Xenopus tropicalis: one gene and its partners. The protein of the gene in region 3 binds, or shares a complex with, the protein of the main gene of each other region. Links are inferred from orthologs where the notes say so. Each region holds a gene or a part of one and is shown on either strand. Other genes may lie near its edges.

What was found. The genes of interacting proteins can lie anywhere in the genome.
Region 1: the proteins of tuba1a (region 3) and c1orf194 are in contact, whole or in part, in a cryo-EM structure (PDB 7UNG), measured with the Homo sapiens proteins. The link is inferred for Xenopus tropicalis from reciprocal best matches to the Homo sapiens genes TUBA1A and CFAP276. Residues at the interface, in NP_001257328.1 of Homo sapiens: Lys112, Glu113, Ile115, Asp116, Leu117, Leu119, Asp120, Arg123, Lys124, Asp127, Arg156, Ser158, Val159, Asp160, Gly162, Lys163, Leu195, Glu196, His197, Ser198, Asp199, Tyr262, Pro263, Arg264, Trp346, Lys430, Asp431, Glu434, Val435, Val437; in NP_001231954.1 of Homo sapiens: Pro43, Trp44, Arg46, Leu47, Asn48, Thr50, Pro51, Thr52, Ile53, Thr54, Ser55, Arg57, Arg58, Ala60, Tyr62, Asp64, Ile67, Pro68, Lys69, Asp70, Asp71, Phe74, Arg75, Lys90, Ser91, Leu94, Leu95, Asn96, Lys98, Thr99.
Region 2: the proteins of tuba1a (region 3) and c8h9orf116 are in contact, whole or in part, in a cryo-EM structure (PDB 7UNG), measured with the Homo sapiens proteins. The link is inferred for Xenopus tropicalis from reciprocal best matches to the Homo sapiens genes TUBA1A and PIERCE1. Residues at the interface, in NP_001257328.1 of Homo sapiens: Met1, Arg2, Gln15, Asn18, Ala19, Glu22, Cys25, Leu26, Glu27, His28, Gly29, Ile30, Gln31, Pro32, Asp33, Met36, Pro37, Asp39, Lys40, Asp46, Asp47, Ser48, Asn50, Glu77, Gly81, Thr82, Tyr83, Tyr224, Thr225, Asn228; in NP_001041730.1 of Homo sapiens: Tyr28, Pro35, Gly36, Arg37, Phe38, Trp43, Phe44, Arg45, Gly46, Tyr47, Arg48, Thr58, Ser59, Asn60, Gln61, Ala62, Tyr63, Gly64, Arg66, His71, Glu72, Pro74, Phe77, Tyr78, Pro79, Asn80, Ser81, Asn82, Lys83.

Annotation. Positions count from the first base shown.
Region 1 is NC_030678.2:74,560,431-74,564,614, reverse strand, and holds the start of c1orf194 (protein C1orf194 homolog), read right to left. Parts: upstream 2,801-4,184; 5' UTR 2,719-2,800; coding exon 2,644-2,718; intron 1-2,643. UniProt on the Homo sapiens protein: Microtubule inner protein (MIP) part of the dynein-decorated doublet microtubules (DMTs) in cilia axoneme, which is required for motile cilia beating. May play an important role for the maintenance of myelin-axon integrity.
Region 2 is NC_030684.2:7,004,187-7,008,117, forward strand, and holds the start of c8h9orf116 (UPF0691 protein C9orf116 homolog), read left to right. Parts: upstream 1-1,131; 5' UTR 1,132-1,264; coding exon 1,265-1,383; intron 1,384-2,230; coding exon 2,231-2,309; intron 2,310-3,596; coding exon 3,597-3,779; 3' UTR 3,780-3,805; coding exon of another isoform or gene 3,806-3,809; 3' UTR 3,810-3,931. Other genes in the region: mrps2 (28S ribosomal protein S2, mitochondrial), read right to left, coding at 936-972. UniProt on the Homo sapiens protein: Microtubule inner protein involved in the attachment of outer dynein arms (ODAs) to dynein-decorated doublet microtubules (DMTs) in cilia axoneme, which is required for motile cilia beating.
Region 3 is NC_030678.2:136,576,892-136,579,029, forward strand, and holds the end of tuba1a (tubulin alpha-1A chain), read right to left. Parts: intron 2,085-2,138; coding exon 1,936-2,084; intron 1,694-1,935; coding exon 713-1,693; 3' UTR 501-712; downstream 1-500. UniProt on the Homo sapiens protein: Tubulin is the major constituent of microtubules, a cylinder consisting of laterally associated linear protofilaments composed of alpha- and beta-tubulin heterodimers.

The DNA of each region.
Region 1 (4,184 bases), about 62 Mb from region 3:
AATTTAATGAAATTTGAGACCATGTGTTCAGTCCTTGCATTATTGATCAATTAAATACACGCGAAACCTTTTTCTGGTTATGTCTTCACAAATTGCTTTAGTTATAATTAAATGCAAAAATGAATAAAGTTTTCCACCTTTTTTGCCAGATTGCTATGTTCACTATTTTGAAAAAATAAATATTTAAGAATTACTCTCAAATGGCCACAGGCCAAGACAAAGCAGTAAAAGAAGCCTTTTGTCAAATGTTTGTCATGCTTTGTGCCTATGAATAAAGGTTTTTAAATATTTAAGATTTGAAGAGTGCTATCCAATCTCTACAAATCAATTGAATCAGGAGGTGAGTGGCTGCTGTGGGAAATGCACTCTGTTGCCTGTCGTGTGCTATTACATATTAAGTAGTTGCTCTGCCCTGTTGACAATAATGTGCTATGGTATGGCCCAGAAATGGCTGAAACATAATAATAAAATATTTGCTAAAGGATGAGTCCAACAACATCTATTTATAATGTTTCAGCTCTAACTGTACAGTTACAGTTTAATGATGTACACAGATATTTTACATTAGAGCCTGGCCACCCCATACAGCACCAGAGCCTTGTCAGCCCAGTCGCCAAATGAAGCAATATTCACAATAATTGCGTGTACTCTCTAGAGCAGTGATTCACAACCAGTGATCCGTGAGCAACATGTTTCTACCTAACCCCTTGGATGTTGCCCCCAATGGCCTAAATTCCTGGATTGGAGGCAAATTTTGGTTGCATAAAAACAGTTGCACTGCCAAACAGAACCTCATTTAGGCTGCCCGTCCACATAGGAGCTACCAAATAGCCAACTACAGCCCCTATTTGGTGCACTCATGAACATTTTTAATGCTTGAGCTGCTCCCCAACTCTCTTTACATTTGAGTGTGGCTTATGGGCAAAAAAGTTGCATTAACCCCCTTCTGGAAAAAGAAATGCCATCCAAAGAAGAGGTTGTGTTACATGCTGTGTCACAGAGCACATGTATCTGTATAAGATAAACTTCCCATTTTAAACAGGAAATTCAGGTCTTGCCATGTTCTTTTAACATAAACAGTGAGACTGCTTACTCATAACCTCCGCTTAGGACACTTAAATTAATAATTCAAACTTCTGATAAACATGTGCATCAATGCAAGAAATAAAGGGAGTATTTATTAACATTGGAGACAAAGATCACTGGTGATGTTGCCCAACTAATCAGCAATTATATTTAAGTTTTAGAAATCAAAAGCAAATATCTGATTGGCTGCAATGGGCAACATCACTGGTGATCTTCATCTCAAATTTTAATAAATACCCCTAAAAATAGCAGCAATAGAATACACAGACTTTATATTATGAAACAATGGTGAGTTGCTTATAGGCGTTATGCCATTTGTGCAGTAATGACTGCACTTTCTCAGGAGAATTTAAATTATGCCAGTACAATAGAAATTTGTATGATATTTGTATTACTGTCACATTTGTCTATATAATCACACCTATAAGTAGCCTTACAGGAGGGTTTACTACATTTAAATACAGATGTACATCATATCTATTTTGCATTTATGTTCAAATTTATTGGAATCTTAAATTATTAGATGATTTACATGTTCAGAGTAGACAGTCCCACCATTTATTAATCCAAAGGGGGTTTATAACTTTTATGTGTATGTATTTTAGACACTGAAGTGCTAAAAGTTAAAGTTCAAGTTAAATGCACTAATCTTGTAGGTTTGTGCTACCTTATAAGGTGTTTATTATAACTCTGAGCTGGGTTCTGTTTGTATGTTTTCCCAATATCTTTTTGGTTTCCTCCAGTTGTTTTCCAACAACATAGAGACAGGTTAATTGGCTCCTTATAAAATGGACCGTAGCATATGTGACTTACCCAGTGACTGATATGAATGAAAAACAATCTCTTTAGGTGCTATATAAATAAACATAAAAGGCACCTTATATTTTCTATTGTTTGTTCCAAATACTGGAGATGATGCACCTGCCACTGCAGAAAACATCTTAGTTTCATGTTGTACATTTTGTTTTGTGCTGAGTAATAAAGTCAGGACGTTTTGTGCAAGTGATCCGTTTAGGAAAGCTGCCATTCAGATGAAGTTGTCAAGCAACAGAGAAAACAAAATCACTTTGTTGCTAGAGACAAACATAAATAAAAAAAGCAGAAATAAAATGCCCACTATGGTTTCAGACGTCCATCTGGTGCTAGATAGGTGTGCTCAAGTAACCCATTCATGGAACTGAAACTCCTTTATATTAAGAAGATATTTTTAAGTGAATAAAAACATATAACTAAAGCCAATGTATACAGAGGGGTGAAAACTTTTATTGAAATTGCTCATTCTGCATTGCATCTATCCTTATATTATTTTTTTTAAAAAAGGTTTTATCCTCTAGCACATTTCAGTTTGACAGATGATGCAGTAATTCATAGTATAGCTAAATCATGGAATGAAAAACTCTTTCTTTTACAACAGAAACACAGAGCCTATTGTACCTTGTTTTAAACTTGTTTGCCACTTTTCCCTCTAGAACAGTCCTGTTTTCTTGATTTTACTTGACATCACTGCTTGCAGTTATTGCTATTTCCTAAATTAAGGTTATAAAAGTAACATCCTACCTGGATTTCTTTTCCCTGAAAAGTGTCATCATTCTCATATCTGGTGAAAGGATATGGATCCCTGGAATGTGGCATTTGATGTCAGAGTAGGGTGTATGGAGACAGTCTCTGGAAGCAGATGCCGATGCTCAGCTCTCTTGGCTCATATAGCTGTCCTTTTGTTGACATGTTGCTAGGAGACGATAGCATAGTACTGGACAGTAGCCAAAGAGCAGGGGCATGTGACAATAAATAGCTAAAAAGTTATACTGAAACTTTATAAATGCACATTTGGGTTTGTTTTGTAATTGGACATTTTTTTGGGTGCCTATTTTTTTTTTTTTGCAACTGAAACATCTGAAGTGACCATCATAATTTGTACTAGAACAATACAAATACAGTTTTAAATAGACAATATAACCAAATAAATGTTATTCCTCCATGGTTTTCTAAATAGGAGTAGTTTTGGAGGAAACAAATGTAATTTTAGAAAATGTATAAAAAGGGGAGAACATACAAACTGCTGATAGGGCCTTGGCTGGAATCAAGTCTAAATGATAACAATAATAATAGTTAAAAACAAAGTAATAATTGCTGAGTGGTGATGAGTGAATCCGTCCCATTTCGCATTGCCAAAAAAATTGCAAAACTGTTGAAAAACTTGCGTACTGCGTAATGGTAAAAAATTTGCTACCTTGTACGTGATCCCAACTAAGATAATTAATGCTTATTGGAGGCAATACAAGCCTATTGGGTTTATTCAATATTTAAATTATTTTTAGCAGACAAGTTATGGAAATCCAAATTACAGAAAAATCCTTTATCTGGAAAATTTCAGGTCCCGAGCATTCTGGATAACAGGTCCCATACCTGTACTTAAAAGCACTTGACTTGACCTAATTTGTACACCCCTACTAAATTGCTCAAAGGACAATGATTTTTCCCACAGGGCAGGTTTCAAAGTCCACTAGTACAGCACCACACTTTTCTCATGTGTGCTCCTGTGCTAATCCAAGGACAGCTGTGCTTAAATAGAGGGGCGCTGTCAGTGTCTGTTTTTCTTCTAGGTATGCTCCACAATCAGTTATTGCTGTTTGTTCATCATTATGAGACACTCCCTAGTGTTCCTTAAACACAGTGCTCCTTGTGTGCCTTACATGCTTTTCAGAGGTACAATACTTTACAAAGGGAAGAAGCACACCAATACACCGGCCATGCCTCTAACACATTTATTGCAGAAAATAAGTGGCACAAGGTTTTGGGGGTTACCCCCTTCTTCAGGTGCACCTATTGGTGTGCTTCTACCCTTTGTAAAGTACATAAATTGGCTTGGGAGCAGCCGAGGAATTGAAGCACCTTATGGATGTATGCAAGTGGTGTGCTAAAGAATGTTTCTATTGTTTCAGAGGTACAACACATGGGTAGATTCTCTGGTGTAACAAAAATGATTAATGTTTTAATGAATCAAGAGGGGGCTTTGATGGCAGTTAAGCAGTTATTGAGGAACAGCAGCACCCACCCTCCAACATATTTGTGGCAGTACTGCCCACATTCTACTTAAT
Region 2 (3,931 bases), on a different chromosome or scaffold from region 3:
TGTCACTAACAGAGAGTGCAGAGACAGACCCTACCTGTCACTAACAGAGAGTGCAGAAACAGAGACCCTACCTGTCCCTAGCAGAGAGTGCAGAGACCTACCTGTCACTAACAGAGAGTGCAGAGACAGACCCTACCTGTCACTAACAGAGAGTGCAGAAACAGAGACCCTACCTGTCCCTAGCAGAGAGTGCAGAAGAGACAGAGCCCTACCTGTCCCTAGCAGAGAGTGCAGAAACAGAGATCTACCTGTCCCTAGCAGAGAGTGCAGAGACCTACCTGTCACTAACAGAGAGTGCAGAGGAGACAGACCCTACCTGTCCCTAGCAGAGAGTGCAGAAACAGAGACCTACCTGTCCCTAGCAGAGAGTGCAGAGACCTACCTGTCACTAACAGAGAGTGCAGAGACAGACCCTACCTGTCACTAACAGAGAGTGCAGAAACAGAGACCCTACCTGTCCCTAGCAGAGAGTGCAGAGGAGACAGAGCCCTGAGAGCAGAAGAGACAGACCCTACCTTTCCCTAGCAGAGAGTGCAGAAGAGACAGACCCTACCTGTCCCTAGCAGAGAGTGCAGAAGAGACAGACCCTACCTGTCCCTAGCAGAGAGTGCAGAAGAGAGAGACCCTACCTGTCCCTAGCAGAGAGTGCAGAAGAGACAGACCCTACCTGTCCTTAGCAGAGAGTGCAGAAGAGACAGAGCCCTGAGTGCAGAAGAGACAGAGCCCTGAGTGCAGAGGAGACAGAGCCCTGAGTGCAGAGGAGACAGAGCCCTGAGTGCAGAGGAGACAGAGCCCTGAGTGCAGAAGAGACAGAGCCCTGAGAGCAGAAGAGACAGAGCCCTGAGTGCAGAAGAGACAGAGCCCTGAGTGCAGAGGAGACAGAGCCCTGAGTGCAGAAGAGACAGAGCCCTGAGTGCAGAGGAGACAGAGCCTACCTCTCTTTATCAGCCCGGTGAGGCCAGACGCCGCCATGCTGAGTCCCATAAGGGGAAGGTCACTGAGCGCTGCGCTTCCGGCTCACTCATTTCCTCCGGCAGCGAAAGCTCAAGGTTCCCGGGTACCACAGCGACACCTGCTGGTCACACTGCTAACTGCACTCTTCCCGTTATACAGCGGGCTGTGCGCTTTGCTATGGCTGACTGCAGGAAGCTCCGGTTGCCCTCTAGTGGTTTCTTAGCAACGGTTGCCAAGCAGTCAGGGATTGTTTAAACAGAAGTTGTTTCTCACACAAGCCGCCAGCCTCCTGCCCCAAGGGAACCCCAAGATGTCGGAGAGTCCAGCACAGGGAACATCCTCCGACCCCCAAACCTGCGACTTCTACAGGGTGAGTGAGTCTCTGCCCCCCAAGTTCAACCAACCAGAGACGTGGAGACGGGGGTACAGGTATGTGGCGCAATGCACTCTGGGAGTAGGGGTTTTACTGGCAGATCTGGGGCCCCTAAGGGCCAACTGAGTGATGGTTGCTATGTAATGGTCAGTGCTTACACTAGTAATGGTACAAATAAAGCGGGAGTTCACCTTTAAGCCAAGTTATAGAATGTCCTATTCCAAGCAAGTATGCAGTTGGTCTTCATTATTTATTGTCTATAGTTTATAAACTATTTTCCTAACTCTTCTACTTCTTTCAAATGGGGGTCACTGACCCCGGCAGCTTATCAACCGTCTGCTCTGTAAGCTTCCATTGTTATTATTGGTTTTTTTTATTCCGTATATTTTTATTCAGTCCCCCCTTCTATTCGTAGTCCTGTCTCAGATTCAAACCACTGGCTGGTTGCTAAGGGTAGCCAGGGCCCTAGCAACTAGGCGGCTGCTGAAATTCCAGCTGCTAAATACAAAGCTAAATGACTGAAACCCGCCAAAAAAAAATGAAGACCAACTGCAAAGTGTGAACATCCCCTTTAAAATGATTTTTTTCCAGTGACGGCCAATAGAGAGCCGGGGTTTCTGGAGCGATGATTGGGGAGGGACACTGTGTATAAAGATATATATATATATATATATACCCCAATACCTAACCCTGAACCCCTTCACCCCAATCCTCTGCCCCAAATCTCTTCCAGCGATACTCCCCTGTGCCCGGCAGAGAATGGTACAATCCGAGGGGGGCCGTCCACATAAAGGTTCCACCCAAGGTCAATTGCCCCAGTAGACAGCCCAGATGGGCCAGTAACCATAGTAACAGAACCCAGTAGGGGGGGCAGATGGATAATATCTTTCCGTTTCATTTCAGACCCAAGACTGACAACCCTTTATACAGAACCTCTAACCAGATATACGGGAGCCGACCCCCCACGGTCCATGAAATGCCGGTAAGCAAGCTGATTTATGTTTTGGGGGGGGGCATGGGGTGTAACTGCCCTAGGTCAGCTGATCTACAGCCAGTAAGGACTGTGTTGCTGCAATGCCCAATGGGAAACTAATATTCAGCCAGATATCAGTGGGTTGCTAAGGTAGATTAGACCCTAGCAACCAGATAACTGCTGCAATGCCAAATGGGAGAGCTGCTGAACAAAAAGTAAAACAATTAAAAAACTACATATAATAAAAAATGAAGACCAATTGCAAATTGTCTACATCGTACTGAAAGCTAATGTAAAGGTGAACAACACATTTGTGTAACTTTTACTACGATATAGAGAGTAATATTCTGAGAAAATTTGCAATTGGTCTTCATTTTTTTATTATTTGTAGTTTTTCAATTGTTTTACTTTTTGTTCAGCAGCTCTACCGTTTGGAGTTTCGGCAGTTATCTGGTTGCTAGGGTCTAATTTACCTTAGCAACCAGGGAGTGGTTTGAGAGCGTGACTGGTATATGAATAGGGGAGGGGCTGAATAGAAAGATAAGGAATAAAAAGTAACAATAACAATAAAACTGGAGCCTCACAGAGCAATAGGTTTAGGCTGCTGGGATCAGTTTGCAATTGGTCTTCATTTTTTATTTGTGGTTTTTTGAATTGCAGCAGCTATTTGGTTGCTAGGGTCCAAGTTACCTTAGCAACGAGGGTGTGATTTGAATTTAAGACTGATATGTGAATAGGGGAGGGGCTGAATAGAAAAATAAGATATAAAAAGTAACAATAACAATAAAACTGGAGCCTCACAGAGCAATAGGGTTTGGCTGCCGGGGTCGGTTATCCTGTTGCTAGGGCTCAAACTACCTTAGCAACCAGGGAGTGGTTTGGATGAGAGGCTGGAATATGAATTGAGGAGGGGCTGAATAGAAAAATAAGATATAAAAAGTAACAATAACAATAAAACTGGAGCCTCACAGAGCAATAGGTTTTGGCTGCTGGGGTCAGTTATCCTGTTGCTAGGGCTCAAATTACCTTAGCAACCAGGGAGTGGTTTGGATGAGAGGCTGGAATATGAATTGGGGAGGGGCTGAATAGAAAAATAAGATATAAAAAGTAACAATAACAATAAAACTGGAGCCTCACAGAGCAATAGGGTTTGGCTGCCGGGGTCAGTGACCCCCATTTGAAAGCTGCAAAGAATTCAAAGGCAAATAATTGAAAAACTATAAGAAATAAATAATGAAGACCAATTGAAAAGCTGCCATTCTATAACACACTAACAGTACATTTCCGTCGTTCCAGACGACGTTTAACGGCATCTCGGACAAATTTTCGGAGACAGCGGTGAAATGCGGCATGTACCGGAACCATGGGTTCAACACGTCCACGGAGAGGAGCTACGTGAGTGGGCCGGACAATCTCATCACCGCCGCCGATAGGCTGAATTTCCACCGGAGCTACAAACTCATGGGCCCCTCCCACTGAATGGGATTATGTAGGATATTATATATCTAGATACTTTGTCACCATCTTTTCTATGTCGGCTACATTTTCCCTATATCTGTGGGTTTAGGATCCATTAGCGGCTCCAGATCTGATTAAGCCCCGCCCCCCATTAGCGGCTCCAGATCTGATTA
Region 3 (2,138 bases):
CATAAGGGAGGCAGAGTGCTGCCTGTGTGTGCCATACTCTGCCTGCCCTATGCTGACTGTGAGAGGTGAACCTGGCAGGGGTTTGTTCTGGGAGTTTGTTAGTAGTTGGAAACCACCATTATATGGTCCCTAAGGTGTGTAATTATGTGCTGGGGGTTGCTGTGCTATCCACAGGGGAGGAGGAGGCATATGGATGTAAGGGTATGTCTTAATATGACATAATATAATTCTTTCATATATGAATAACTGTTGATATCCCCGCAGTGAGGACCAAGCATTTGGGCTTTTGCTGCACTACCACCATTGTGATAAAATGGGTGTGATTCAAAAAAGGGGAGTGGCCAAAACTGGCTTCCATTAGCGGCCCTCGACCATGTATGCTAGAGAAATTCCGGCCCTTGGCACCGCAGAAGTTGGACAGCACTGTTTTAGACCTTTGGATAGCCCTACCTGACTCTGAAAGAAATCAATATAACACAACGGAAAACCACAGATAGAAATTCTGTATGACAGGGAATGTGTTTATTGTCAAATCCACAACAAAAATAAATGGCTGGATCTGTTTCAAGAGTTTCAAGTGTTTTAGACCAAATCATTTTAATGCAGCAAAAACATATCATAGAAATTAGCTACATAAAAATAACTTGATCAAACATTTTGCATTTTTTGGATGGTTTTAAGTTCCCTGTTAAAAGCAGCACCGTTTTGACATTTAATATTCTTCTCCTTCCTCTTCACCCTCTCCTTCCACAGAGTCTACACCAACCTCCTCATAATCCTTCTCCAGGGCAGCCATGTCTTCACGGGCCTCAGAGAACTCACCCTCCTCCATACCCTCACCCACATACCAGTGCACGAAGGCACGCTTGGCATACATGAGATCAAACTTGTGGTCCAGACGAGCCCAGGCCTCAGCAATTGCAGTGGTATTGCTCAGCATACACACAGCACGCTGCACCTTAGCCAGGTCTCCCCCTGGAACCACAGTTGGGGGCTGATAGTTGATACCAACTTTGAAACCAGTTGGGCACCAATCCACAAACTGGATGGTACGCTTTGTCTTGATGGTGGCAATAGCTGCATTTACATCTTTGGGTACCACATCACCACGGTACAACAGGCAACAAGCCATGTATTTACCGTGGCGTGGATCACATTTCACCATCTGGTTAGCTGGTTCAAAGCAGGCATTTGTGATCTCAGCAACAGAAAGCTGCTCGTGATAAGCCTTCTCTGCAGAGATGACAGGGGCATAGGTGGCAAGAGGGAAGTGAATACGGGGATAGGGCACCAAGTTGGTCTGGAACTCTGTGAGATCTACATTCAGGGCTCCATCAAACCTCAGAGAGGCTGTGATGGAAGACACAATCTGGCCTATAAGCCTGTTCAGGTTGGTGTAGGTTGGGCGTTCAATATCTAGATTCCTGCGGCAGATGTCATAAATGGCCTCATTGTCTACCATGAAAGCACAGTCAGAGTGCTCCAGGGTGGTGTGAGTGGTGAGTATAGAGTTGTAGGGCTCAACCACAGCTGTGGAGACCTGAGGAGCTGGATAGATGGAGAACTCTAGTTTAGACTTCTTTCCATAATCAACAGAGAGACGCTCCATCAGCAGGGAGGTGAATCCAGAACCAGTACCACCACCAAAGCTGTGGAAGACCAGGAAACCCTGGAGACCTGTGCACTGGTCAGCCTAAGAATAAAACAGAATAGTACAAAATTATGATATGGTCCTGCATCTGACAATACAAACAGCAACCCCAAAGCTTTTAGAACTGAGGGGTTATTATTGTATGGCCTAGCTAGATGGAACTGCATACAAATAACTAGATTAACTAACAGCTAACATTTAGGTAATAAAGGCTACTTTATTATGATGTAAAGTAGACTGACTTTTTTATGAATGTGATCCAAGAAATGTCACAATAATCATACCAGTTTGCGGATCCTGTCCAGCACCAGGTCAATGATCTCCTTGCCAATTGTGTAGTGACCACGGGCATAGTTATTGGCAGCATCTTCCTTTCCAGTGATAAGTTGCTCTGGGTGGAAGAGTTGGCGGTATGTGCCAGTGCGCACCTCATCTAGAAAAAGAGATTGTAATGCTTAAGCAATCTATGGCACCTTTTGGCAGAAAA